Sus scrofa: one gene and its partners. The protein of the gene in region 6 interacts with the protein of the main gene of each other region in a pairwise test. Links are inferred from orthologs where the notes say so. Each region holds a gene or a part of one and is shown on either strand. Other genes may lie near its edges. The genes, in order: ITM2B, KCNK1, TSPAN2, SLC29A1, STX7, CREB3 and LAT.

Evidence for each region.
Region 1: the proteins of CREB3 (region 6) and ITM2B interact in a two-hybrid assay, tested with the Homo sapiens proteins (2 studies listed by BioGRID and IntAct). The two-hybrid records come from large-scale screens. The link is inferred for Sus scrofa from reciprocal best matches to the Homo sapiens genes CREB3 and ITM2B.
Region 2: the proteins of CREB3 (region 6) and KCNK1 interact in a two-hybrid assay, tested with the Homo sapiens proteins (2 studies listed by BioGRID and IntAct). The two-hybrid records come from large-scale screens. The link is inferred for Sus scrofa from reciprocal best matches to the Homo sapiens genes CREB3 and KCNK1.
Region 3: the proteins of CREB3 (region 6) and TSPAN2 interact in a two-hybrid assay, tested with the Homo sapiens proteins (2 studies listed by BioGRID and IntAct). The two-hybrid records come from large-scale screens. The link is inferred for Sus scrofa from reciprocal best matches to the Homo sapiens genes CREB3 and TSPAN2.
Region 4: the proteins of CREB3 (region 6) and SLC29A1 interact in a two-hybrid assay, tested with the Homo sapiens proteins (2 studies listed by BioGRID and IntAct). The two-hybrid records come from large-scale screens. The link is inferred for Sus scrofa from reciprocal best matches to the Homo sapiens genes CREB3 and SLC29A1.
Region 5: the proteins of CREB3 (region 6) and STX7 interact in a two-hybrid assay, tested with the Homo sapiens proteins (2 studies listed by BioGRID and IntAct). The two-hybrid records come from large-scale screens. The link is inferred for Sus scrofa from reciprocal best matches to the Homo sapiens genes CREB3 and STX7.
Region 7: the proteins of CREB3 (region 6) and LAT interact in a two-hybrid assay, tested with the Homo sapiens proteins (2 studies listed by BioGRID and IntAct). The two-hybrid records come from large-scale screens. The link is inferred for Sus scrofa from reciprocal best matches to the Homo sapiens genes CREB3 and LAT.

The regions. Positions count from the first base shown.
Region 1 is NC_010453.5:19,353,932-19,357,431, forward strand, and holds part of ITM2B (integral membrane protein 2B), read right to left. Parts: intron 2,148-3,500; coding exon 2,004-2,147; intron 291-2,003; coding exon 84-290; intron 1-83. UniProt on the Homo sapiens protein: Plays a regulatory role in the processing of the amyloid-beta A4 precursor protein (APP) and acts as an inhibitor of the amyloid-beta peptide aggregation and fibrils deposition. Plays a role in the induction of neurite outgrowth.
Region 2 is NC_010456.5:57,316,539-57,320,544, reverse strand, and holds the start of KCNK1 (potassium channel subfamily K member 1), read left to right. Parts: upstream 1-1,206; 5' UTR 1,207-1,607; coding exon 1,608-1,962; intron 1,963-4,006. UniProt on the Homo sapiens protein: Ion channel that contributes to passive transmembrane potassium transport and to the regulation of the resting membrane potential in brain astrocytes, but also in kidney and in other tissues.
Region 3 is NC_010446.5:105,516,599-105,520,098, reverse strand, and holds part of TSPAN2 (tetraspanin-2), read right to left. Parts: intron 1,027-3,500; coding exon 924-1,026; intron 1-923. UniProt on the Homo sapiens protein: May play a role in signalling in oligodendrocytes in the early stages of their terminal differentiation into myelin-forming glia and may also function in stabilizing the mature sheath.
Region 4 is NC_010449.5:39,228,313-39,231,812, reverse strand, and holds part of SLC29A1 (equilibrative nucleoside transporter 1), read right to left. Parts: coding exon 3,455-3,500; intron 2,946-3,454; coding exon 2,811-2,945; intron 2,721-2,810; coding exon 2,623-2,720; intron 2,477-2,622; coding exon 2,398-2,476; intron 1,803-2,397; coding exon of another isoform or gene 1,776-1,802; coding exon 1,678-1,775; intron 1,155-1,677; coding exon 1,043-1,154; intron 796-1,042; coding exon 710-795; intron 1-709. UniProt on the Homo sapiens protein: Uniporter involved in the facilitative transport of nucleosides and nucleobases, and contributes to maintaining their cellular homeostasis. Functions as a Na(+)-independent transporter.
Region 5 is NC_010443.5:31,183,668-31,187,704, reverse strand, and holds the start of STX7 (syntaxin-7), read right to left. Parts: upstream 2,801-4,037; 5' UTR 2,658-2,800; intron 1-2,657. UniProt on the Homo sapiens protein: May be involved in protein trafficking from the plasma membrane to the early endosome (EE) as well as in homotypic fusion of endocytic organelles. Mediates the endocytic trafficking from early endosomes to late endosomes and lysosomes.
Region 6 is NC_010443.5:236,449,352-236,453,372, reverse strand, and holds the start of CREB3 (cyclic AMP-responsive element-binding protein 3), read right to left. Parts: upstream 2,801-4,021; 5' UTR 2,333-2,800; coding exon 2,318-2,332; exon of another isoform or gene 2,206-2,317; intron 2,115-2,205; coding exon 1,977-2,114; intron 1,872-1,976; coding exon 1,724-1,871; intron 1,648-1,723; coding exon 1,580-1,647; intron 1,464-1,579; coding exon 1,374-1,463; intron 1-1,373. UniProt on the Homo sapiens protein: Endoplasmic reticulum (ER)-bound sequence-specific transcription factor that directly binds DNA and activates transcription. Plays a role in the unfolded protein response (UPR), promoting cell survival versus ER stress-induced apoptotic cell death.
Region 7 is NC_010445.4:18,637,724-18,641,791, reverse strand, and holds the start of LAT (linker for activation of T-cells family member 1), read right to left. Parts: upstream 2,801-4,068; 5' UTR 2,443-2,800; coding exon 2,340-2,442; intron 2,148-2,339; coding exon 2,120-2,147; intron 1,995-2,119; coding exon 1,960-1,994; intron 1,712-1,959; coding exon 1,624-1,711; intron 1,491-1,623; coding exon 1,426-1,490; intron 1,335-1,425; coding exon 1,157-1,334; intron 1,085-1,156; coding exon 990-1,084; intron 1-989. UniProt on the Homo sapiens protein: Required for TCR (T-cell antigen receptor)- and pre-TCR-mediated signaling, both in mature T-cells and during their development.

The DNA of each region.
Region 1 (3,500 bases), on a different chromosome or scaffold from region 6:
GTAAACAGAATAAATTAGCAAATGTTGAAGCGAAAACTACAAAAGCATCCATTAAGGAACAGTTCAGGGGGCCCTGGGCTCACCTTGTTAAAGTCATGCACAATGTTGGCAGGGTCGCTGTCCGCAAACTCTGGGACAGGCACGCTGATGAACTCGACCCCATCTTCCTCGAAGATCTTAATATTTTCCTCGATGGTCTGGTAGCGGGCGGCAGGGGCGTTCGCAGGAGGCTCATTTAAGATGACATCATCCTTGATGTACTTTATTCCACAATAGTAGACGTCATCTGGCTATGGAGAGTTTAAACACTGCTTTAGCAACGCAGTGGGAGACAGGCTTTTAAATGCAAGCATTACTTAAGCTGCCACCTTTATCTAAGTAGTACTTTGCTTGCAAACTCTTACTTTTACATGACAAGCCAGACACTTTAATTACAGAGTTAACACATTCTTCCTGTAAGATCAGGTTTTGAAGTATTGTTTAAAAAAAAAAAAAGGCTTCAGAAGGAGAAAAGCAGCTGATTCCTCCTTTACTTTCTGTGTTTGACAAAAATAGAATATAAAGGCAATTATCCATCTGGTGACAAGTAAATGTGAAGAAACACATAGGCCTATTTCTACCTGTAGGCCTTATTTTTTATAAAAGAATATATTCAGAAACTAATAATGTTTTTCTGAAAGAATATACTTTTAAAATGTAATTCACCAATTACATGATTTTTCTCATCAGCTAAAAGAGGGATAGTTTAGTTTTTCTGAAATTTCCACAAGCATACAGGTAGTTTGGATTTTTCCTTAAAAATACATCATAATTAAGTGGAAAATATCAGATTACAGCAAATCATTATAAAGATTGATTTTTTTTAAAAGTGTATATAATAAATATTAGGAGCATATAACAAAATGCTAGGTCAAAAAATATTACCTCTGGACAGTGGAACTGCAAATGATTTTCTTATATCAAAAATACATTTCTTGTAAAAAACTGGAATGAGTATACTCTGGACTCAGGAGCAAAATTTTATGGGGACGCCCAAAATGTCTATCAAACTGTAATCTATTAATATGACACTTGTGGCTAGTTTATTTATTCAACTGGCAATTAAAAATATTATAACTTAGCCATTAATTATGGTTGGAAAGTTGAGGTTAGACAATTTTGAAAAATCATCCACAATCTATACCCTTTAGTCAGCAACATTTCTTTCTTCTTCTTTTTTTTTTTTTTTTTGTTGTGCCTGTGGCATGTGGAAGTTCCTGGCCCAGGGATTGAACCTGTACCACAGCAGTGACAACACTGGATCCTTTAACTGCTAAGCCACCAGGGAACTCCAGAAACATTTCAAAACAGTATTATTCCACTTCTAGTGACTTTTTAGCTGGCTCAGCAAACTTACGTTCAGGAGTTTTTTTCTTTTTTTACCCCCCCACCCCCGTCCTATTTTGGTCATCCTTGTCCTGTGGGTGATTTTTTTTTTTAATTTATTATTTTTTTTATTAAAGTACAGTTGATTTACAATGTTGTGCCAATTTCTGCTGTACAGCAAAGTGGCCCAGTCATACATGTATATACATTCTTTTTCTTATGTTATCTTCCATTTGTTCAGGAGATTTTGAAACACAACCTTAAGAGGACCACCATTTTGGCTAAAGGTCACAGAAAAAAGTACAGACCCAGAACAAGTTTGGGCCAATTTTCTTTTTCTTTTTTTTTTTTTTCTGTCTTTTTGCCATTTCTTGGGCCACTCCCACGGCACATGGAGGTTCCCAGGCTAGGGGTCAAATCGGAGCTACACCAGAGCCACAGCAACGCCAATCCGAGCCGCATCTGCAACCTACACCACAGCTCATGGGAATGCCAGATCCTTAACCCACTGAGCAAGGCCAGGGATTGAACCCATAACCTAATGGTTCCTAGTCGGATTCGTTAACCACTGAGCCACAACAGGAACTCCTGGGCCAATTTTCTAACACATGTGAAGCAAAGGCAAAAAACGTCCTTACCATTTTCCCACTTACTTGAAGTGCAAAATATTTGTACAGGTATGCTCCTCCTAGAATGACACCTGCAAGCATAAATGCCAGGCCAAAGCACATGCACCAACACCAGGCTCTTCTTTGGCCAACTGGTACCACTTCATCTGGGTCCTAAAATATGAAAAAGACTGATAGTCAATATCTTAGCTCTAGTCAGAATCACAGAAACATCAAGACTGTTTAAGAAACTTTAAAGATTATTATTACATAAACAAAGATATAGGAGTTCCCATTGTGACTCAGTAGTAACAAACCCGACTACTATCCATGAGGATGCCGGGTTTGACCCCTGGCCTTGCTCAGAGGGTTAAAGATCCAGCATTGCTGTGAGCTATGGTGTAGGTCACAGACATGGCTTGGATTTGGCATTGCTGTGGCTGTGGCTGGCAGCTGCAGCTCCAATTTGACCCCTAGCCTGGGAATTTCCATATGCTGTGGGTGCAGCCCTTAAAAAAAAAAAAAAAAAAAAAAAAAGATATAAAGACCTAGTGCTTGAGGAATCAGTGTTGTCACTTCTGTCACTCAAGCGTTCAATGCCTGGCCCTGGAACTTGTGTCATGGGCATAGTCGTCCGTCCGTCCGCCGTCCCCCCTCCCAAGCCAAAAAGACCAAAGAGCGAGGTCGCTAACCAAAATCCACCCAGTAATGATTACGTGGTGGTGCCAGGACTCAGCACAATTGCCTCTTGAGCTAAAACACCAGTCCCTTGGGAGAGTGTCGCCTTCTTCTAACTTTCAACAGCCCACCAGCTATCATATCTCTAGAGCAATAAATAACACACTTAACACTCTCCCTTTTCTGTGTGTGTCTCTCTTTTCTTTTAACTTTTGGTGATGATTAAAATAGCTTCTAACATTTAAAAATCCAGAGATGGCTATGATACAACTCCGCGATGCAACATTATGATGCTGGGTCTTGTGTATTATTACAACTTCCACGTACATGAGATTATTTATAAAATTATGTGTTAGCCTGCTACAAGGAGTTAGTATTCCATACTAGACACCAAGCCCACTCCTAACCAAACATAAGAAAAATTAACAAAAAATCAGGGACAGACCAAAAATATTAAGCAGATTCTTTAAATAACTAGAATCTCAAAAAAGTAGGACACACGTATCTAGAAATAATCCTGTAACTCCACTTCTTGATCAAATTCTTCATTTTTAAGATAGAAGCTGTAGAAAACTGAGGAAAGATTCAGTAAGAAAAACTTATTAAGAGACACCCAACTAGCATACAGTTGTTAGAATTCTAATTTTGACCCAATCAAGGAAATAATTTAGCACTGGAACACCATCTAGGGTCGGGATATTCACAGTCCTTAGACGCACTCCTTGCCCCTTTAACTCAGTCTCTCTACTCTGTCACTTCAGAGTTAACACACTTATCTTCTTTTTTTGTTTTGTTTTGTTTTAGGGCCGCACCCTTGGCACATGGAGGTTCACAGGCTAGGGGTCTAAT
Region 2 (4,006 bases), on a different chromosome or scaffold from region 6:
CTATCAGTGAAAAAGAAATGGTATATGAGCTGATCTCCCACCCTGAGAGCCCACCTCCAGCTGGCTTTTAGTATGATATTATCCAGGTCCATCCATGTTGCTGCGAATGGTGTTATTTCATTTTACTTATTTATTTATGCATTTTTTTTTTTTAGGGCTGCACCTGTGGCATATGGAAGTTCCCCCACTAGTGGTCAAATCAGAGCTGCAGCTGCCAGCCTATGCCACAGCAAGTTAGGATCCAAGCCTTGTGTTCAAACTGTACCACAGCTCACTTAATCCACTGAGTGAGGCCAGGGATTGAACCCGCATCATTGTGGATAATTGTCAGGTTCGTAAACCACTGAGCCAAAAACGGGAACTCTCATTGCTTTTGTAGAGATACCGTAGTAATTTATTTAACCATTTCTCTATTTTGGAATCATTTGTTCCTGAGTCTTCATTATTTCATGTATAATATAGATATATATTGTTTATGAACTGCCTTGTCTATAAATGTTTGCCTCCCTGATTATGATTATTATTTTTTGGCCACACTGGAGGCATGTGAAATTTCTCAGGATAGAGACTGAACCACACCACAACAGTGACCTGAGCAGCAGCAGAGACAACAGCCAGTTCTTTAATGGCTAGGCTGCTAGGGAACTCCTCCCTGATTTTTTCTTAGGCCACATCATGGAATCAGAGTACATAAGCTCTTTTAAGGCTCTTGAAACATCCTCAACTTGCCTTTTGCAAAAAGGGCACACCCATTTCGACTGGCCCACAGTAAGGGCTTCCCCTTAAAAAGATCTGCCACATGGGAAAGCTCAGTCGCTTCTAGTGGTTGGCATATTGGTATTTTTCTTCATTCTTCATGTTTTAAAAGAACTAGGCTTCAGAAATGTGACTTTTCCAAAACTCTGCCTTAGTCTTCAGGTCCAAGGCACCTTCTGACCTTGAGGTTTCTGGTTCTTTTCACCATCCATCATTGGCACCAGATTGCGCCAACGTCTTATCTGGCCAATAAGACAAGATGAAAAGTATTCCAGCGCCCGCTTTGTCATAATAGTGGATTTGATTAAGAAGAAATAGGGTGAAACGGAGTAGCTGCGATCTGAGGCTTGGACTGGCAGCGCACTGCCCAGAAGTGTCCCCCCGCCGCCGCGCGCGCGCGCGCGCGCGCGCATACGCTCCCTCCCTGCCACCTCCCCGCCCCCCTGCCCTGCCTTTTGCTGGGGCTGAACCTGGGCGGGGAGCTGGAGGTACCCTCGCCACAAGGCAGGGGTCTGGGCCGCCCAGGAGACATCGCCAAGGGCGGGAGCGTCCCGGCTGCGCGCCCAGCCCCCACTCGGCGGCTAAGTTTGCCGGGCTGTCAGGGGCGACTCTCGGGTTACCTGAGCCGGCCACCACGTCAGCGCCACATCATCTGGGCTTTTTTATTTGCAAGGAAACAGGAAAAGAAGGAAGAAAAAGGCCTCCGGAGCCGCTAGCCAATCGCAGGCAGCCGGCGCTGCGGGCGGAGCGGGCGCGCGGGCAGCGGGGCGGGCCGAGGGGACGGCGGGTGGCAGCGGCGGGCCGGTCTGCGGCGCGGGCCTCGCGGCGGCGACAGCCTCGCGGCGGGAAAGATGCTGCAGTCCCTGGCCGGCAGCTCGTGCGTGCGCCTGGTGGAGCGGCACCGCTCGGCCTGGTGCTTCGGCTTCCTGGTACTCGGCTACCTGCTCTACCTGGTCTTCGGCGCCGTAGTCTTCTCGTCTGTAGAGCTGCCCTACGAGGACCTGCTGCGCCAGGAGCTGCGCAAGCTGAAGCGGCGCTTCCTGGAGGAGCACGAGTGCCTCTCGGAGCCGCAGCTCGAGCAGTTCCTGGGCCGGGTGCTGGCAGCTAGCAACTACGGCGTGTCGGTGCTCAGCAACGCCTCGGGCAACTGGAACTGGGACTTCACCTCCGCCCTTTTCTTCGCCAGCACCGTGCTCTCCACCACAGGTAAGAGGCCCACCCCACGTCCCTGGCCCCGGATCGGCTCTCTGATCTAGCCGCTCCTCCCTCCCCGGACCCCTCCGGCGCTAATCTTGGGAGGACCGGCTCCGCGGCGCCGGAAGCCGGCGAGGTGGGTTCAGAATGCTAGACAAGGGTTGACCCCCTGGAAGTCTTGGATCGTGGTCCCTAACCCTTCGGCCTGAGCGGCTGCAGGGGTCCCCAAAGCCGCGTTCTTTTGTTTGCTACACCCTCCATCCAACCGTCCGCTTGGAGTCGTTTGGGTCCTGGACGCCGCGCGGCGGTGATGGAAACTCCAGTGCAGCGAGGGCGCGCGCCTTCCTCCCTCCCCTGTCCCGCTGGGCCGAGACTGAGGAGCCTAAGGATAACGTGTTCCAGGGTCACCTTCCCGAGGGGCCTCTGTCTGATGATACTGTGATGTTTAGGCTCTTTTCTACCGTAGCGGCCGTTTCGGGGTAAGCGAGTGACATCACTCTGCTCTTCGCAGGTGACCTCTGAGCGCACTGGCCGATCCGGTTTCTCTTCGGAGCAGGAGGAGGGGTGAGGCTAGGCAACATCCGATAGCCTGTGATCCGGGAAAATGGGGGCACCCTGATTCAGCAGTTTTTTAACTTTCGGTGCGCGAGGCCACGCTTAAACTTCTTGGCGCCACCCTCCCCACACCACTCACCAAGCAAGACGTTCACGATGGAGAGTGTCCCGGGGGCGAGAGGAGGCCGGTAACTGGTTGGTTGGATAGAGTGGCCCCAGCCTGGACTAAATGAGGCACGTGAACACCTGGGGGGAGGTTTTGTCCATTGGGATTTGGACCCAGGCAAGTGGTCTCCAAGAGCATTCAGCGCAGTCCCATCTCTATACATCAGATGAGACCTTTAACAGTCCCTCTTGACTTGCACAAGGTCACAGGCAACCTAGTTCCCAGCGTTGTTCTGGAAGCCGAGCCTTGTGATTTCCCAGCCTTGAACATGGGGGTACCCCAGGGGGTACCCCACCCCCACCTTTCCAGGTGAATTAAACTTGTGTTACTCAGACTCCTCCGTGGCCCCACCTCCTCTCCGCCTCCCAGGGTTTATTTCTTTATAATACCCTTGAGCTAAACCCAGTTGATGGTTCCGGTGATTTTTTTGGTAATGAGTAATGGTGCACTATCCCAGTAGATGGTGTAAAAACTGGGATTCAGAAGTGTGCTGTGAATGACTAAACTGCCCCATGTTTGCCCTGCTATAGGGGAAGTAGAATTGTAGTTTGTTTTGTGACACTTTTTAAAGGTAGCCCTAAGACGACCTGTTCTCTTACTTTTTAGCTTTTCCGACACCACTCTTTGGTTGTTTTTTGGCCAGTCCTGCCTGCTTCCACTGTCTTTACTTCGCTCTATTCCTCAGATCATTTAGTACTGGCCCTGCCTTTCCTTTGGAGTATGTTTGTGCTAAATTGAGAATCATTTCTTCCCTGCAGACCTAAGGGGTTTGTGGGCTGCGGAAGGTCTACAGCTGGGTCACAATGTTGGGGTAAATATTACAAAGAATGGTTAAACTTTTCATACTTTCTAAGTAACAAAACTTCAAAGATAGAGCAGGAGTATGAACAATATTATGAGAAAAAGAACGCGTTTGCTCAGTGGGATTTTCCTTTACTGATGCAGCTCATGTACAATCTCGATGTCATATGCATCTAATCAAATGTTAAAGATAGGAATTTACATCTTGAACAATTATTTCCCAGATTTCCTCCCTCTCTTTTTGCAACTAGGAAAATCTGCCATTCTTTTTTTTTTTTTTTTTAAAGGTGGGGAAAGATGTCTTAATATTGGTATTCAGATTGCATCGCAGTTCCTAAGAAAGTGTGTATTCATGCAAAACAAAAGTTCATTTAGGAAATCAGTGCAAGGGGCACTTAAGGATAAACTAGATGAAAAAATTTGCTTCTTGAACTTATTAAGTCACATAGAATTCCTTTGAAATTTAGATTTCTATTCCAAATCAAAGATACTCTTCTCTTCGTTCTATTTGAGTTGAAAGATACTCCTTTCTTA
Region 3 (3,500 bases), on a different chromosome or scaffold from region 6:
AACCCTGCTTCTCCTTAAGCTCAGAGGTTGCCATAAGCAACTGAAGCATCCTCTATGGCAGGCACATATCCTAAAACAGCCAGTCCATAGGGCTATCACCTAGCCCTGATGGTCTTGGGCTTTTTGAAATCTAGAGTCCAGGTGCCCTTAGCTGGGGCAAGAAAAAAAGGCCCCCAAAGAGGACTAGAAGTAGATCCAAGGGAACTAAACCCAGGGGGAAACACTCAGCCCTACTCAGCCATGGTCTTGGAATTAGAGGCTACCCAGGCTCACACTCCCTCCTCAGCCCTTTCCCACAGCTGGGGGGAGAGGCTACTCCCCTCCCCCACTGAGGCCTCTCCCCAGGGCAGCCCTCTCCCCCTCCCCAGCCCCTGCCCTCTGCAGACCCCAGTCATGGAGGGACTAAGATCAGTGTCTCCACATCTTGCAATGTCTCTTCATTTTGAATTATGTGTCTCTTCTAGACAATTTAGAATTTAAGACCACACATATAAAATACCCAGCCTTGACTGGGCAGGAGCCCCCATCACCCCAGAGGGATGAGTGAATAACTGACTTGGTAGTGTTCTGCTTCACTCAGGGGGCAGAGAGGGTTTTCCAAGTCTTTGGAAATGAACTGTGGTGACATGCTGCCCTTCTTTTCTTAAGGAGGCTGAAAGAAGTACAACACCCCAGTGCCTCCTGGTCTTCCTTGGTTTTGGGAGCAGAGGGATAAACCATGTGTGGGGTGGGCTGAGTAGGGGTGGCAGGGCCCTCTCCTCTCTGCCTGGACTGCACAGCCCCCTCCCAGGGCCAGGTGGGCACACAGGGCTCAGGTTTGCCTCCTCTCTCCCTCTGCCCGCCTCCCACAGAAGCCTGGGTGCAGGCTCCGGCTCTAAGCCCAGCAGCCCCAGCTAAAGCCCAGGAAAGCTGAAGTCGCTCACCCATGTAGAAGTACTCTGGGGACTTGTCCTCCGATGAAAAATCCTTCATGGTGCCTCCAAACCGAAACCACAGTCCAAAAGCAATGACAGCCGACCCTGCCAGCTGAAAGGTAAACAGCATGCTCTTACAAGGGAGGGGAAAGTGTGTGTATGACCCGGGAAGCCTGGGGCCGCAGAATGCTGAGGGCTGGAGGGGGCCCCCCTAAGAAACCAGCTCATCATTTCATGGTAGGGGTGAAAGGATGTGCTCGCAGCCTCTACCCCCAACCCCAGGTCCCTGATGTAATGTTAAAACTGGGGCTTCCTGATTCCAAGCGCAGAGTTTCTCCATTCTGCCAGGCTGCCCTGCGGTTATAGGGCACACACAGCCCAGCTCAGGAGGCGTCTCAAAGTGTTCCAGTAACAGCCCCCGAAGGCGTCTGCTCCCTGTTTATTGTCCCCTGCCGGGCACTTCAGACTTCCTCACCAACACCACAGTGAGAGGGGACTGTGTTTGAGCCGCCGGGTCACCAAGAGCAAGATGAACTCTGAGACCGGGGAGGGGGCAAGACCTACTTTTCTAAGTGGGAAGAAAACATGCCAACTTCAGAACCCGCCTACGCCTCCTGAGCGAGCAGCGCCCAGTGAGAAAGCTGTTTCAGAGGCGTCTAGACCTCTCCGGTCACTGATCATTGCACTGCACTGCCTAGGGATGGTTTTGCAGGCAATAAGGGAGACTGGTGGTTTTTTTTGTTTGTTTCTTTTCTTTCTTTTCTTTTTTTTTTTTTTTTTTTTTTTGGTTGCTATTTTGGGTTTCCATGGAAAGCAAGAAAGGAAAAAATAATTTTCTGAAAAAGCATGGTCTGTGTGCCGTGTGGCTCATGGAGAGGCTGAGTGGCTGGCGCAGGCAGTGCTGGGCAGGCTGGCGGCTGGTAGAGTCATCGCCTGCTTCCTCTCAGCCACTCTGAGGACTTTTGTGAGGCTCCGCACCAGGGCTGGAAGCCTTTTCTGCCATTGCAGGACTGTCACAAAGGCCCACCAGTGGGCCCCGGCATCCTCTCCCCCACAAACACTCATCTCGAATTTCATTGTATCAATAAATCAATGGATAATTCCCTGCGCACCTTCTGGACTCAAGGCACCAGGAGAAAGTAAGCAGAGATGTCAAAAGAGCCTGCTGGTTCTGCTGACCCATACAGTTAGTGCTGGGCTGCCCTAGCCCATCCTGGACTGACACTTTAGAGGCTGCTGGCCCACAGGGAGAAGCAGATACGAGAGATGCTGGGCACAGGAAGACAGAAGTTCACAAGCCAGAGAAGTAGAGGTTTAATAAGGAAAAATGGTTTCAAGGTCAGGGTCAGACCAGAGCCCTGTTTATAAGGAATCCTGTTATCTGTGGGCTATTACAAAAGGCGGGGGCTATCTGGCCGGACTTGTTTGAGGATGTTATCTTTCTTCACCCTCCTCCCACCCCCCCACCCAAAGCCCATTCCCTCCGTGGCCAGCTTCTTCAGAAGAGCAGCAGGGCCGCTGCAGGAGGAGTTGGAGAGGCCAAGTTCTACCAGCTGCGATCCAATGTGGAACGACTAAAAGTTTCCAGTACTTACAGGAAAGCACTAATTGGATAATGTGAGGGACAGCAAAAGGAACTGGGCTCAAAGGGGCTATAAAAGATTTTTCAATTTTTAAAAAGGGTAGCAAGGCATGGAAAAATATTCCAAAGAAGTCATGTTAAAACATTAACCATATTTCTTTTCGAAGGATAAAATTACAGGTGACTTTTCTCTTTTAGCTATATACTAAGTTTTCTGCATGAAGCATAGATTACTAAAGTAAGTTTAAAAGTGTGACGAGGTGGTTTATCTGATCAACCCAGAAAAGATGGTGGTGGTGGGGTTTCTTGGGCTGTGCTTTACTTTGGGAGGAAACCAGCTTTGAGGTGATTGCTGTTTCTGGTACAGGGAAGACAGCGATGGCCTTGGGAAAGCCCTGTCTTTGGGGTGTCGGGGGCTGCTGGGGACAGATGTGCTCAGCAAAGCCTCAGAGGCAGCCCTGCCCGCCCCGCCTCTGCAGCCACTCAGTGGAAAGACTTTCCAAATACAAAGCAAAAATCTATTGACAGAGGCATCAGGCCAAGGGCTGCAGCCACCAAGCAGACTGTGGAGGAGGTGACGGGTCCCAGGGACACCCTACCACGAGGCCACATTTTTGGCATCTCTGTACACAAGCTCTAATTTATAGCTGTCTGGGATCATCCTCCCAGACGGAATACATTTGTCCACTTCTGGCACAGATGTGTTTGATGCATAATGGAAAATTAAAAGAGAGGTTGCAATTTAAAGCCATGGGGCAATGAGAAGAAATCTGCACTTGCTCATCCACGTCCCCCAACCCCAAACCACATGGGTTTCCTCCTGGGCCAAGGAAACTGTGGCACAGCTGAATGTCATCACTGTGAGGGAATCCTCCTAGCACGCCGGGGCAGGGATGCTGTGGGTGTGGACCCCTTCGAGCTTGAGATTGTTGCTGATGACAGCGATCGCTGCTTTGGAAAGGCGCATCGGCAGAGACCACGTAGCCCTTTGGTCCTTTTGAACT
Region 4 (3,500 bases), on a different chromosome or scaffold from region 6:
TTTTTTTCCCATTTCTTGGGCCGCTCCTGCAGCATATAGAGGTTTTCAGGCTAGGGGTCCAATCGGAGCTGCAGCCAACGGCCTACGCCACAGCCACAGCAATGCGGGATCCGAGCCACGTCTGTGACCTACACCACAGCTCACGGCAATGCCAGATCCTTTACCCACTGAGCAAGGCCAGGGATCGAACCCGCAACCTCATTGTTCCTGGTCAGATTCACTAACCACTGAACCACGATGGGAACTCCGGGAATGATCTATTCTTGACCTGGGCAGTGACTATCAGGGATGTTTGTTTACTGGTGTGTATACATATATTCATTACACTGTGCACCTCACTATACATAGATCATGTCTTTTTTTTTTTTTTTTTTTAGGGTCACATCCATGGTATATGGAGATTCCCAGGCTAGGGGTCGAATTGGAGCTGCAGCTGCTGGCCTATGCCACAGTCACAGCCACGCCAGATTTGAGCCGCATCTGTGACCTACACTGCAACTCATGGCAACACCAGATCTTAAACCCACTGAGCGAGGCCAGGGATCGAACCTGCAACCTCACGGATACTAGTTGGGTATATAACCTACTGAGCCACATCAGGAACTCCATATGTCTTGGCCCCCTTCCCACCATACTTTCTTGGTTCCCTCTCTGGGCCTCAGGCTGACTCCCCTCTCGCAGGGACTTGGTACCCCTTTCCTGCACTTACCCACATGGTGACGGCTGTGAGGCTCCGGCCCAGCCAGTCAAAGATGTTGAAAGTCAAGAAACAGGACACAGGAATGAAGTAGTTATCTGGAAGAGGAAGAGGAGATTGGGGGAGGGTTATCAGGTCCAGGAGAGGCAGGATCCAGCAACCCTGACCCTCACTGGGACTCAGTTTTCCCAGCTGTAAAATGGAGATGTTTCCAGCCCAGGGAAGGGCAAATGAACCAGGAAGGTCTGGCTGGGGAGGCAGCAGTCCAGACTCCCCTCCTCCTGGGCTCCCGGCCCTGCTCAAGCCCCTTTCCTGCCCCATCCTGGGAACCCATGGTGTCCTCACTCCAGGGGCTGGTGGTGTCCGCAATGCTGGACTTGACCTCGGCAGCCACGGCAGGAAACACCCCAATGGTGACCGTGAAGACGAAGCAGACGGAGAGAGCCGGGACTAAGATCTGGAGGAAAGGGACCCAGGCCCGTGTCTTCATGGCGGTTGTGCCTCATTAAAGAACCAAGACTCCCCACCCCAAGACAGACAGAAAGATGCACGCACACACAGAGGTGTGTGCCCACATGCACGCACGCAAGAATCCAGGCAAGTGGCCAGTCTTTAATCAGAAAGGGAGGGGATAGGGAGTTCCCATTGTGGCACAGGGGAAATGAATCCAATTAGTATCCATGAGGATATGGGTTCGATCCCTGGTCTTGCTCAGTGGGTTAGGGATCTGCCGTTGCCATGAGCTGTGGCAGAGGCAGCAGCTGCAGCTCCGATTTGACCCCTAGCCTGGGAACCTGCATGTGCCATGGGTGAGGCCCTAAAAAAACAAAGCAAAAAAAAAAAAAAGAAAGGGAAGGGATAGACAGTGCTAGGAGGTAGCTCGGGAAGCGGGGGAAGAAGGAATGAAAAAAAAAAAAAGAGAGAGAGAGAGAGAGAAAGGGTGGAGGAGCAGAAGGCAGGATGCCCCAAGGGCCACGTACACTTCTGAGGATGGCACGGACAGAGTGGCTTTTGTTGCTGGGCTGAGAGTTGGAGGCAGAAACTCTGAGCTCCTCTTGGCCTGCTTTTGACTCCTCTCCTGGCGGGGGACAGGTTGTAGAAGGATCTTCAAGTTGGGGGGAAGGACAGGGCAACAGATGGCACAAACATCTTCCCGCAAAGGGCTGGGCTTAGTTGGGAGCAGACACCCCCTTGACCAGCACACAGCCACACCCGGCCAGTTCAGACCTCCTCTGAATCCCGGTCCTGACCTCTCTCAGGAGCCTCTGGGCAGGTTACGCCTTGTCCAAGAATCTGAAACTGCTTCCCAATGTCCTCAGGCATTCAAGGCCACCCAGGCTGTCCTCTCGATCCCAGCCCTCACCCCATCCCTGGCTCCTGCCCTCTGGTCTCTGGCATCTCAGCAGCGCTCGTTTTTTTTTTAAGGCTAGGGGTTACATCGGAGGCTGCAGCTGCCGGCCTACACCACAGCCACAGCAACGCTGTGTGTCTGAGACTCATCTGCAACCTACACGGCAACGCACGGCAACACCAGATCCTTAACCCACTGAGCGAGGCCAGGGATCAAACCCGCATCCTCATGGATACTAGTCGGGTTTGTTACCACTGAGCCACGATGGGGACTCCAGCAGCGCTCATTCTTGCCCTCTGCTCAGGCTCCCCCCCACCCCCCACCCCCCGCTTCCTCAGGCTCTTCAGACCTTTAGTAATGAGGTCCAGCTTGGTCTCCTGCTCCCCAGGCCCTTCAAGCTTGAGTTGCTGGTAGTAGCGGTAAAATTCCTATCAAGTGAGGGAGACCGGGAGGTGGATTCAGATTCGGAATCTCCAGAATTCACCTCCCCCAGGTTTAGGCCTCAGAATACCCTGGGTCTGGAGCCCTGGATCCACCCCCAGACCGCAAACCCCAGCGTTCTCCAGGCGCTCACCAGCCGCGGCAGGCCCAGATAACAGATGATGGTCAAAATAATAACCGCACAGGCTGTGATAAAATAGCCGAAGGCACTTTCCGAAAGCTCCGAGCCACCTGGGGTAGAGGGTATCAGTGATCAGAGACAGGTCCCACCCCTTCTTCCCCCACAATCTGGGCAACAGGCAGACAGACAGAAAGACTTACTGGCGATGGCGCAGATCATGGCCACGGAGGCGAAGAAGCCTGCCAGGCCCTGGCCACTCATGATGGGGGCTGTGTAGCTGGCGGGCAGGAGGCCGGCCAGGCCAAACAGGCTGCCCTGCAGGATGGCACCGAACGCTGGGGGACAGGGTGGGCATCAGCAGGGGAGGGGGGAGCCGGATGGGTGGGGGGGGGCCCTGGGAAAACAGGTCCCTATGATTCCTGCTTTACTCCCTTTTCTAGTCTTTTTTTTTTTTCTTTTTTGTCTTTTTTTGGGCCACACCTGTGGCATACGGAGGTTCCCAGGCTAGGGGATAATCAGAGCTACAGCTGCCGGCCTACACCACAGCCACAGCAACGCCAGATCCAAGCCGCGTCTGTGACCTACACCACAGCTCCCGGCAACACCAGATCCTTAACCCACTGCGTGGGGCCAGGGATCGAACCCGCAACCTCATGGTTCCTAGTCGGATCTGTTTCCGCTGCACCACAACGGGAACTCCTTTACTCCCTTTTCTTCATCCCACTCCCGGCCCTGGTCCGTGAGCACTTGGGCCTCTGAACCTTGACCCCCTGGGGGAGGAATGCCCACTGCGGGTCTGAAGGCAGGGGGCGGGCACATGGGAAGCTCTCCCCACCCCGCTTACAGTTAATGAGCATGATCTTGATCATGGTGATGACAAAGAAGGGCAG
Region 5 (4,037 bases), about 210 Mb from region 6:
AGTGAGCTGTGGTGTAGGTCACAGACGCAGCCCGGATCCCAAATTGCTGTGGCTCTGGTGTGGGCTGGTGGCTGCAGCTCCAATTCGACCCCTGGCCTGAGAACCTCCATATGCAGTGGGAGCGGCCTTAGAAAAAAGTAAAAAAAAAAAAAAAAAAAAAAAAAGACAACAAAACAAAACAAAACACCAATATCTCACTACCTATATCTGGTGTTCAAATATCACATGTGTGGCCACTGGCTTGGACAGCTCACCAATGGACTACTTCCATTATAGAAAAGTTCTATTGAATGGTCCTCACCAAACCTTAATAAGTAGCTTTCTATGAGGATATATAAACACTATAAAGGGAAAGAAGGGAGGAGCAAATCAAAGTACAATATTCCTAATGAGAATCTTCTTAAGACTGTTTCTAAAAAGCACAAATAAAAGAACAAAGGAAATTTTAAAGAGGAATCTTGCGTGTCAAACACTATCCTTAGTTACTGCTGGACAAAGTGTAGCCTCTTAAGCTTCCCATGAAGTACAAATATCATTCTCTATAAATCCAAATTGGATAAAGCAACAGCAATAGTCAGTTTCACTTTCTTAGTGGTGAGCACCAGCATAAAGCACCGGACTTCCCTTCACCCCATGTTCCAAAACGGTAAATTCCCAGAAGGGCAAAGGTTTTTGTTTTTTTTTTTTTAAATCTACTTTGTGGACTTCTCTACTCTCCATACCTGGATATATAAGAGGTGCTTAATAAATATTTGTAGAATAAACAAATGTAACTATTCCTAAGTACTCACACCTGGTCTGAGGATAAATATTACCATTTCTAAGACAGCACTGCAGAGCCTTCTTTGAGATCCAGGATGTCCCAGGCTTAACGATGCCTGGGGCCATCACCTCTCCCTAGAAGGATTTCCCATGATCTCCATGTGACTGGCTCCTTTTTCCCAGGGTGCCATTTCCTCTCCCTAGAAGGCTCTTCCCATGATTCTCCATGTGACTTGCTCCTTTTCCACAGCAAAGTCTCATCACATGCTAGATAAGCATTCCGTAGTCACTTTGATCCAAGTGAGAAGTCACCACCTGCCACTCTGCTGATCTAACTTACTGCATCATGGTGCTAATAATCATTTAAAATTATCTAGTTAGTATATCATTTATTATGTCCCTACCTCTGGAACATAAAGAGAGACAAAGCTGTCATCTTGTGGTATCTGTGCTGTGAGGGAGCACAGATGTTCCATGAATGTGCGGGTGATCCCTTTACTACAAACAGGAGCATTCTCCACCTGAACTACACGAACTGCATTCTTTAGCTCAGCTCTTGCATCCATTAAACTATTATGCCATTTGGGTTTAGTTCACAATACCGAGGATTATTTTTGATCTGCTCATACACCAAACTTTCAAATAAAATGGAATCATGGCAAACTTTACTCAGGCTTACTGCACGTGCTTCCTATCATTTATTTTTCAACCAGCAGCATTTGGCTAAAGTTTAGGATCGTAACCAAAATTAAGGCTTACTTTGTTTGGGGGAGCAGTTAATGCGTTAACATGGTATCATATTAACCTCCACAGAAACTTTGAAACTGGAGCTTAAATTTCAACGAGTCACAAGTCTGAGGCAAACTTCTCAAAGTGGCCTGCAAAGCAGAGGCCTGTACACATCACCAGACAATTGAACACTGCTATCAGTCTCTGTACTGGGGGACGATCGGGCCAACCTCAGAAGAAACATTCACCTCCAATATTACTAAAGAGCACAGCATTTCATAATCACTTCCTCTTCTTCCAGAGTTCGCACAAGTATTAAATTACATATAACTGTAGTCAGACTGTGTTGATTTGAGTTAAACAAAAATTACTGTATAAGAGTCTAGCAAATGTAAGAAATCTGAGGGGGGAAAAAAGCATTTAACCTGAAAGGCAATTTTTTTCTTTTTGTCTGAATTTAAAGAAAGTAACAACCTGAAAACCAAGAGGGTGGGTGTGGGGAGGTGTCTTGAGATATTGCATGTATTGTAACTGGCTTTATGCAAACCAATTAAGGACATCACTGAAAGGGCCAAAGAAAGTTAGCATATCATAGTCTCCAAACCAAAGAGAAGACCAACTACAATGAGCCTCTGTATTAATGTATATGGTTCCTTCACTACAGAAATACGTATCTTCAGTTCTTCTACATTTGGGAGGAGAACTTTAAAGCACGTTTTCTAAACCCGTGAATTAAAAAGAGGAAGAGGTCAGTTCATGTCCAGCCTGAGGCAGAAGAAGCTGGATTCCAGAGCTGGGCCGGGGCGGCTCGGACGCCAGCCCCGCCCGGGAACGCGCAGCCAGCCGGTGCGCCTGAGCAAGCGCGGCCGGGGAGGCAGGGGGAGGCGGCGGGGCTGCTGCGCATCAGGCGGCGGGAAGGCCGGGCTGGCAAGGCCAGCAGGGACCGGCGGGGCCCGCCTGACCACGCCGCGCACGGAGCCGAGGGGCGTGGGGAGCAGCGCGCTCCCGGGGCTGGGGCAACGCCGGCCCTCAGACTCCCGAGCGCCTGCCGCAAAGCGCAGGGCGGCGGCCACCTGACAACGCGCGCAAACAAGGTGGCGCGACAGCCACGGGGACACGCGCTTTCGGGGCGCCCGGCCATGGGCACCTCCCGAGACTCCTCTTACCCCGACTTCCTCTGCTTCCTTCTTCTTCTTTAGCCGCGGGCACCCAAGGGCCGCAGAGCCCCCAGCTGCGATTCTCAGCTGATGGGTGGCGGCACCAGGATGGCCAGTGCGCATGCCCGCAATACCTCCCTGGGAAGGAGGCGGAGCTAGCTCCTCTCTCATTGGCCAGCGGGGTTAAATGACGGCAGCCCTTCCCCGCCCCTCTGGTTCTAAGCTAAGGAATGGGGGTTCCAGCAAAATTGCAAGGGAGGTGTTTTTTGAGGCCTGACCTGCGGATGGTGAACGTCTTAGCCTGCGAGCAAAAACAGGAGGAGGGAATGGAGAGCCCCTCTGTTTATCGGGGGATGCCGGCCTCCCTAGCCTCGTGTCTTCAGCTGGCCCGATTAACTCATGCCTGCCTTGCTTCTTAACCCTTGACTCTGTAGTAGACCATATTTACAACTCCATTAAAAATGCGGACGCCCGCAAATGAGGCCCTGGGGGGAGGACATACTAACACGAATAGAGGAAATTCAGTCAGGAACAATGAAGGAATAAGCGAAAAGTCTTTCCCATGTGCTAAGTAGACAAGTTTTCATACATATACAAGTCATTCTAAGCATCCTCAAGGGCGGGAAGTAGGTTTCACCGGATTTCCAAAACATAGAGAGGTTCTCATGATAAATAGTCAAAGTAATTGTTAGATAAAAGTATAATTTCTTTTGATGAAAGAATACCAAATTAATTAGGCCTTTTTCTGTAATAAGACAATATTTCTAAAAGGATCGTCAGGATATCAAAAGTCCAGATAGACTAAGGTGGAAAAAAACAAAACAAAACATATTTTGAATTGGTACCACCTGAGAAAAGTCTAGGTTGTTTGGAATCACATGCACATATATGTACATATGTGAGAGAGATTAACCAAGGATAAGAAACAGAAGAGGCTCTCAGTTCACTTTTCATTTTTCTATTTTTAAGAGAGATGCAGGAAGAAGAAGTATTTTCTATTCCTCATTTTTCCTAAAGAAAACTATGGTGTAAGTGTGATAATAAGCAGCAATTATACTCTGCCTCTGTGAAGAGGGGCAATAGAGATGGGCACGCTGGCCAAGCAGAAGGTACACACCCCATCTAAAGGGGCAGCATGATTCAGCTAGAGCCAACAGTAGACTTTTAGGAATATTGCCTAATATAAGCAAATTATCTGCTTTCTTGAGATATAGTGGAAATTTGATTCGTTTTTATTTTACCCCAAACTTCTATACTTCTAAATTTTTTATTAAAGTATAGTTGATTTACAACGTTGTGTCAACTTCTGCTGCACAGCACAGTGACCCAGTCATACATATGTACACTTTATTTTTCTCATATTATCCTCCATCATGTTTTATCACGAGA
Region 6 (4,021 bases):
TAACCCACTGAGCAAGGGCAGGGATCGAACCTGCAACCTCATGGTTCCTAGTCAGAGTCATTAACCACTGCGCCACTACGGGAACTCCAGGCCTATTCACTCTTAGTAGTCATATCACACTACTGTACTTTTAAGAAATTAAAGTCTCTTTATCTTTCTATCAGTAAATATTGATTTCATCATAGTATCACAATACCGCACATGTGAAGCTGCCACTCATTGCTTGAAGCAAAACTCAGGATTTTACATTTATTTTTGTTATACTCCTTAGTCCAGCCTTGATGAATTCTAAAACTTAACCATTCAGCCATAGGTGGATTAGTGTAAAACTAGTGAAATCTAAGTGTCAGGACCCCCCTGTTCCCACAGTACTTTGCAAATCCCTATACCAATATTACACTAATGATTTTGAATTCTTACTTAAAGAGAACACCAAAGTTTGTACAAGCCCTACAAAAACCAGGATCTGCCCCGGCATCCAGCATATTAACTACAGCTTCCTACAAACAACAAACGTGCCAATCTCTCGCTGTCAGGAGACGTGTTTCTACAATCTTTTCTTAGCCTCTTTGCTTCTATTTTCTATGCTGAAAATTCCATTTTGTCCTGCTTTACTTAACCCCATATTCCAGCTTGAAAAACAGTCACCATGCTAGTAAATAATTTAAGCTTAAGAACAAAGACCAAAAGGCATAAGTATTCACGTGGTCAGCTGAATGAGGACATAATGCGTTGGTCTAGGCATGCAGTTTGCACAGCATGATACGTCCTGTTAAAATAAGAGGAAGAGGCGCCTCAAGGCCCCAGGGGGTTTATGAGCGGTCGTTAGCAGAATATGCATCAGCAAGGAGGTACAAACCTAGGCATGCCAGGTTGCAGCAGATAGGCATGCTGTCTGTGGAAGCACAATGATAATTCTCTAGGTGCTATGCACAGAGAGCTAATATCCAGCTTCTTCAATGCTAGTGATTGTTAATGCCTAAAGGTCAGAATAAAAGCTTAACCAGCTACCAGCTATGTGACTTTTAAAATAATAAAAGAACTATGTCCTGCACCTACAACCCCCTCCTCACTTGATGTAATCCTAAAGAGCACAATAAAAGCAGTGTGGTTTCTTGAGGCACTGCTCTTGGTCCCTGAGACCTTGAGTCCCCCAGTTCCCACCCGCAATTAAGATAAATGTCTCTGTGTCTTGTTTTATGCTAACTTTTTCTCAAGTTTTACAGCACCCGTTCCTCAGCCCTTACCTGCGAAGCTGGACTCAGCATCTCGCCTCAGTCCTTTCTCAAGTTACTGATATAAAATTAACAGAGTCAGCCTACTAGGGACTTAACCCCTGCATCCAGTCTTTGCTCCTCGAATGGGAGTCTTACCTTAGTGAGAGGAAGTGTCCCGGGCAGAGTAAGCCCCTCCTTCTCCAAAAGCCTCTTCTCCTCCTCCGTCAGTATCAGCTCACCAATCTCCTGGGGTTCCAAGAGGTGGGCAGCACAGGTGCAAGAGGGTGTCAGAGAGAAATTCGGACTCCTGCCCCAACCCGGTCAATGTGGGAATAATCGTCCTGTAAACCAAGTCAAGTTACCTGCTCTGCGGGCGCCTCCACACGCAGGGAAGTCATTTGGGCCCCTTCCTTCTCATAATCCTCATTATCTGCAAGAGGGAAAGTATAAACAGCCAGGTCCATAGTCCCCTCCCCTCCCCCAAACTTCACCTCTATCAGACTCACCTAGATCTATGGAGACATACTCCTGTGACAGGGAATAGGTGTGATCATGGTGGACAAGATAGGGGTCAGAGTGGCTAAAATCGGTCAACGATGCTGGGGGACTCGACAGGCAGCTCAGGAAATCCTCTACGTCCCAATCGCTCAATGCCTGCCCAGGGTTCAGATTAACAGACTTTGACTGATCACCACCCCCTGCCTCAGAGACACCCCTCCATCCCGCCCGGGGCCTCCCGGACTCAGAGCCCCCCCCCACCTCGGAAAGTGGTAGCTCCCAATCCAGGGGCGCCTCCAAGGCTTCGTCCCGCGCCGCCCCCAGACCTCCGCTTTCCTCTAACAGGAAGCCCAGCAAGTCATCGTCACCCGAGTCCAACCCCAGCTCCATATGAGACATCTACGGAAAGGATGAGCAGAAACACAGAAGTACACCCGGAGTCAACTCCCAACCCCACGCACGACTCCCACCGATCGTCAGTGGGCCACACCTATGGGCTCCGCAAGCGGGGTTTTCCTCCTGGATGCCGGAGGTGGCTCACAAACCCGACCCGCCTCCCAGCCTGAGTCTTAGCCACTTCCAACACCACACAAGTGACGCACCGAGCCCTGAGGCATCCCGGGACTTGGAGTTCCCCGGACGCGGAAGTGGCCTTGGTGCACGCCACGTCCCGGGCACTATGCAAATAGAGGGGACGTCCTTGCCAGCCCCTCACTCCCCGAGGGCGGGCATTCCGGCGAGCCGCCTCCGCCTCCGCCTCCGCCTTCGCCCCGGGCTAGGAAAAGGAAGGACTACCGCGCAACCGGGACCTCGGGCCCAGCTCGGGCGTCTTCTTGGGATTGCGCCGCACCCTCGCTTCCTGCCGGGGAGGGGCTGCGGGTCTTCGGCCGGCTCCTGAGCATCGAGATCTGGGGCCAGAGCAGCTTCCTGCGGTCCCCGCAACCATAGAGCGCGGGCCCAGGGCGCCGCCCGCGGGCGGGGGACGTTCCCGGACGGAAGTGGCCGAGAGTGTCGAAGGGAGGGCGAGGCCGGAGCCCGAGAGCCACCGGGAGAACGAGCGGGTTAGCGGGCCGGCGGGCGGGGCGCAGAGCCGGGCAGCGCAGGTAGGCCGGTCTGCCGCGAGCGGGGCCTCAGGGTGGGGCCGCAAGGCCGGGCCCGGGAGGCGGGCGGGGCCCCTGACTTGACTGCGTCTCCTGTTTCGGGTCCTGTTGGAGAGGTCAGCGTCCAGTGTCTCTCGGCTTGGGCTGGGAGTTCAAGAGGCCTTTTTGCGGGAGGCTTTTCTGCTCCCTTGCTGGGAGCAGCCCCCTGTCTGGGATAGGTTTGGGGGAGGGTGAAGAGTGGGTGGCAGTGCGACGCAGGGCGGGGATCGGCTTTGAGGTTGGCTGATGGCGGGTATGTGGGTAGGAGCGCCCTGGGTGGGTTGGGGATTAGGTGGTATTGGGTTTAGGAGCCAAGGTTAGCTTTAGGGGTTTAAATTTCGAGTTATGAGCGTGAGTCAGGTCCGTTTTGGGTAGGTAAAGTTTGGATTAAGGACATTATTTTGTGTTCTAGGATGGTCAGCCTAAGCCAGAGTTAGAGTCCAGGGTCGGGTTAAGGGTCAGCAGCAGGAACGGCGCTCGAGATCCAGTTTTAGGCATTAGAGACCGTTGGCATAGCCAGTGTTAGGGGTAAAACGGGGAAGGAGTGACTCAGGAATCAAGTGACACATGATCTTTAGGTTCAGGGGTCAAGCTCTAGGGGTAAGGTTGGGATTTGGTGCTAAAGGTAAAATTTAGATCAAAATTAGGGATCAGGGATTGGATTCAAGTGTCTGCTGGGAAAGAGCTGAATGTTAAAGCCAGTATTGGGCATCAGGAGACAAATTGGGATCGGGGTTAATGTTGGGAACTAAGGACAGTTTTAGGGGTTATAGGCTGAGGTCAGGGTAGGTGACCTCAGGCAGGTAAAATTTAAGAGATTGGCAGGTGCTCTTTTTTTTTTTTTTTTTTTTTTTTGCAGGGAGGGCTCTTGTTTCTCTGTCGCCGTGGGGGCTTCTTTGGCGCAGAGAAATGATAAACTGATTACAGGGTAGGGTTCTGAGCTTCAGCTAGAATTGCAGGCATCTGGGATTCCAGCTGCATTGTACTCTCTAAGCCCAAGGCTCTTGCTGTGGCCACCACAGGTGAGGGGCAGGGGTTCCTGGACCATGTTATTTACAAGGTAGGAGGTGGGAAGGTGTTAGGGACCCAGGAGATGTGCTAGGCTTCATAGTAAATGGGGGACTATCTAGGGGAGAGGGGCCTGGTGGGTCAGTTAAGGGAAAGGCC
Region 7 (4,068 bases), on a different chromosome or scaffold from region 6:
ACTAAAGCAGTGAATTAAAACAGGGCCTGTGGTACAGGAAGGGCTGCCAAGCTTCTGTTAAAAAAAAAAATAACTGTACCGATGGGGCAAAAGAGGGCCAGGCGGGGAAGGGCCAGGCTCCAAAGCAGCTGGGAATTGTGTGGTTTAATAGTAATACGTTAAAACACATAACACTCTTAGCAGGGCACATAGGACGCCCTTGACAATGTCAGCTCTTATTTATCATGACTGTACTTCATGATAAATAAGAAATACACCCAGGAAATATGATGATTATATCCAGGCACCCAGGAAATATGATGGATGAACGAATGAGTGAATGGATATAAGTGAATATAAGCCCTTGGACAGAGAAGTCTGGGGCTCAGGAGAGAGGAGGTGAGTTAGGAATCTGGATGGCAAATGAAGCCGGGTGTGGACGTGATGGCCCAAAACAAGTCGAGAGAGAATACAGGAGAGACAGAAAGGCGGGTAACGGGGCACTAATGATGATGAGACCTCGACAAAAGCCTCTAACAGGCAGGATGAGACTAAAATGAGAGAAAAGCAGCCCAAGGGAAATTAAAACAATCCAGAAAGCAGAAGAAAACGAACCCCCACAACCCCCCTCAAAAGACCACCTACAATCAACATCCTTATCGAATTACGAGATGATATTGCCTTCGTGAAACAAGAACAGGAGGCTATGAAAAAGGAACATTCAGAGATGAAGAAAGGTTTTGGACAGGCCAGACAAAATAAAAGCATAGAGTCCAAAGAAGAATCAAGTCAAGGAAATCTCACAGACAAGAAAGGGAAAAGACAACGAGAAAAGAGGAGAGAAATGGTAAGAAAATCAGAAGATGGGAGCCGGAAGTCCCCTATCTGAAGGACAGACGTGCCAGAAAGAGAGAAGAGAGAAAATGAAGGGGGAGCAGGCATCCAGGAGGAGAGGGAAGAGCCAAGGGCTCGCAGCCCAAGGGCAGGGGGTGGTCAGACGGCAAACTCACTGGAAAAGGCGCTGTCTCGGAGGCCGGGCTTGTTGGACGCAGGAGCTGCTGGGACCGTGGCGCCAGTGGCTGGGACGCTGTCGGGAAGCACCACCCTGAGGAAAGTCAAGGATGGGGTGAGCAAGGACCCCCCGGCTTCAGCCCCTACCTCCCACCTGGCCACTCACAAGTAGCCCTCGTTGTGATAGTCTTCCTCATCCTCGTCTTCGTCCGCATCCTCACAGACTGGCTCTGGGGGGAACGACACAGGGTCAGCAGAGCCCAGGGCGGGCCCTGGCCTCCTCCCAGCCAGGGCCGCCAGGATCGCAGACGCACCCTCGTTCTCGTAGCTGGCCACACTGTTGGCTGCCAAGAGAGCGCGAGAGGGAAATCAACTCAGCTCAGGCGGGCCTGGGCTCTGCCCAGCCCCAGCCCCTGGGCCCCGCGCCCCGCTTACCACCATCTGAGTCCTGCCGGGAAGAAGGCATGCGGTGGGAGCCTCCGGGGGGCTGCGGGGATCGCCTAGGAGTCAAAGGTCAGTGGTCATGCTGGAGTGGGGCTCTGGGGCAAGAGGGACTGCGACAGGCTAAGAGGCCCCCATTCCAAGGAGGCAAGGGGCCGCAAAGGAGGATTCAGAGGGAGAGAGGCTACTTACGGGATGGGGAGCAGATCTGGCTGGCTCAGGGGTGGGTAGGAGGTCATAGGCGGGTAGGAAGTGGCTGGTGGCCAGGGGGCAAGTGTGGCTGAGGACACAGGACCAAGCTGAAGAAATGACTCCAAACATCATGCCCTTTACCCGAGTCATGGCCTCAAAGGGCAGACTGACCCCCAACACCCCTAGGCCCTGGGGTGCCCCCATCTCCTCCCCATCCCCAGCTCAGGTCAAGGCCATGTGGGCAGCCATAGGGGGGAACTAAACAAAGGCACATACTCTCCGGCACCAGGGGACCCTCTCCCCACACCCGAAGGAGGGGCCCCACCGTGTACTTACGAGGCCGCTTGATCACGATGCTACTTGGGGTCAAACTAGCGGGAGAGACACGGCTTGGCTAAGTGGCTGCCAGAGGCCCCAGCCCCCGCCCCAGTCCCCTCGGGCCCACCGTGGGTATTGAGGGAGACACACACACACTGGGTCACCTGGGCAGACTCACCTATCGGGGGCAGCAGTGTCATATGAGCCTGGGGAAGAGAGGGCTGGTGAGGCAGGAAAAGGGGGTGACGGGGGCAGAGGGAGAGGGACCCTGGGGTGCTCGGCGTCTCCGAAACAGTTAGAGACGATTAAAGAGGGATGAAGGGGTTGGGGAGTGGGGTGAGGATCCCTGGAGGTGGGGGGTGTCTGGGCATCCAATCACCCCACCAGCACCCACTCACCTGGCAGCTCTCGGCAACGCACACACAGTGCCATCAGCAACACGGCCAAGAGGGGCAGCAGCAGGAGGCCCAGTGCGTAGGGGATCAGGCTGACCGCCTCCATCTGCAGGAGGGGGCTTGGACCTGGCCTAGCTGCTCGCTGCACAGCCCTCAAGAGCAGAGCTGCTGCAGGGCGAGGGCCAGGCCAGCAAAGGGGCAGGGGCCAGGCGGGCACCAGGCTGGGAGCCTGGTAGAGGGGCAGCCGCGCCCCCTCCCCTCAATGGGCTGAGTGGGCGGCAGCGCCGGTTCTGGAAGGCCCTTGACCCCAGGGAGGTCAGGCCAGGCTGGGCTGGAGTCTGGGGCACCAGGCGCCCCTATACAGACCCTGCGCCCCAGCCGTACCTGCCCCTGGGCTCTGCGCCCGCCTCTCTCAGCGCCTGCCCGCCTGCCTGCCTGCCTGCCTGCCCGCGGCAGGAAGCTGTGGTAAGCGCCGGGTGAGGGCAGGAAATCATCAGGGCTCCTCAGCCGGCTGCACCCGCCCCCTTCCCACCCCCACCCAGCCAGAGGGGAGGGGAAGGAGGCCTCAGGAGCCACCACCCCCACCACCGGGCCCTCCAGAAGGGTCTTCTGGTCTCCGGACAAGAGGCAGCTCACAGCAGGGAGAGAAGGGGAAGATACTTGCAGGCTGTGGCCGCCGTGGCCTCCACAGCCAAGGCTCAAGGAGGCAGCGAGGAGGGAGGCTCAGACAGCGGGACCTCTGAGGGGCACAGGGCAGTGCCCACCCCCACCTCGCCCTGGCCGGCCTGCCAAGGGCGGGCGGGCTCCAGGGAAGACATGGGCGTGACTCATGGTCACACGAGCCAGCTCACTCCACCCCCTCGTTCACCAGCCCAGAAGGACAGGGATTTGCCCAAGGTGCCACAGGAGTGACCCAACGGCCCCTGGAAAACTGGGTCTAGAAAGGGGGCGTCCCCTGCCATCCAGAGGTCAGAGGTCACTAGCACCCAGAGAGACTCCAGCAGGCACTTGGGGTCTGGCTACAAATTTTATTCAGTTACAAATAGCACCGAGCCCCTGGGGCTGCTCCAGTGGGGATGGGGAGCATCCCCTCTTGGCTCCCCATGTAGTGCGTGGGAGCCGGAACATGGGCCAAGCCCCTCCTAAGAAATGGGCCAGGCTGAGAGCTTGGGCCCAGGCCCCTCCTGGGTGGGCCCGGGGCCAGCCGTGGTGGGTGTGCAGGTAGCAAGCGGTGACCCCCCCTCAGATGAGCACACTGGACACGGGGACCCGGGTGGATCGGCCTCGCTGGGGCACCACGATTCGGTCATCGGCAGGCCCGGCCTCAAACAACAGACCTGCCGGGAAAGGGAGCAGAGCCAGGGCTGGATGCACAGACAGACACAGGGCCAGGAAGGGGACACACAGGCAGGGGCAGATGGACGGGGCAGCAGAGCCACCCGTGCTACGGACACAGAGGAGCATCAGCTTGTGGAACAGCAGATGCGACGCCCGAGGAACAGGAGGGCTGTGGACTGAGAGCTGCCAGGTACACGGGGCCAGGCGGGCGGAGAGATGGACAGACAAGCAGGGGGCATCGTGAAGTTAGACGAGGGGCTGTGGACAGACAGAGGGGAGGCCCCACTGACCCTGTACGTGCAGCTGGGCCCGCCGGCGGTCGCCCTCAATGAAGACGGCGGTGCCCAGGAAGGCGGCGCCGCCCAGCGCCCCCACGAAGGCGCAGAGCATGAGC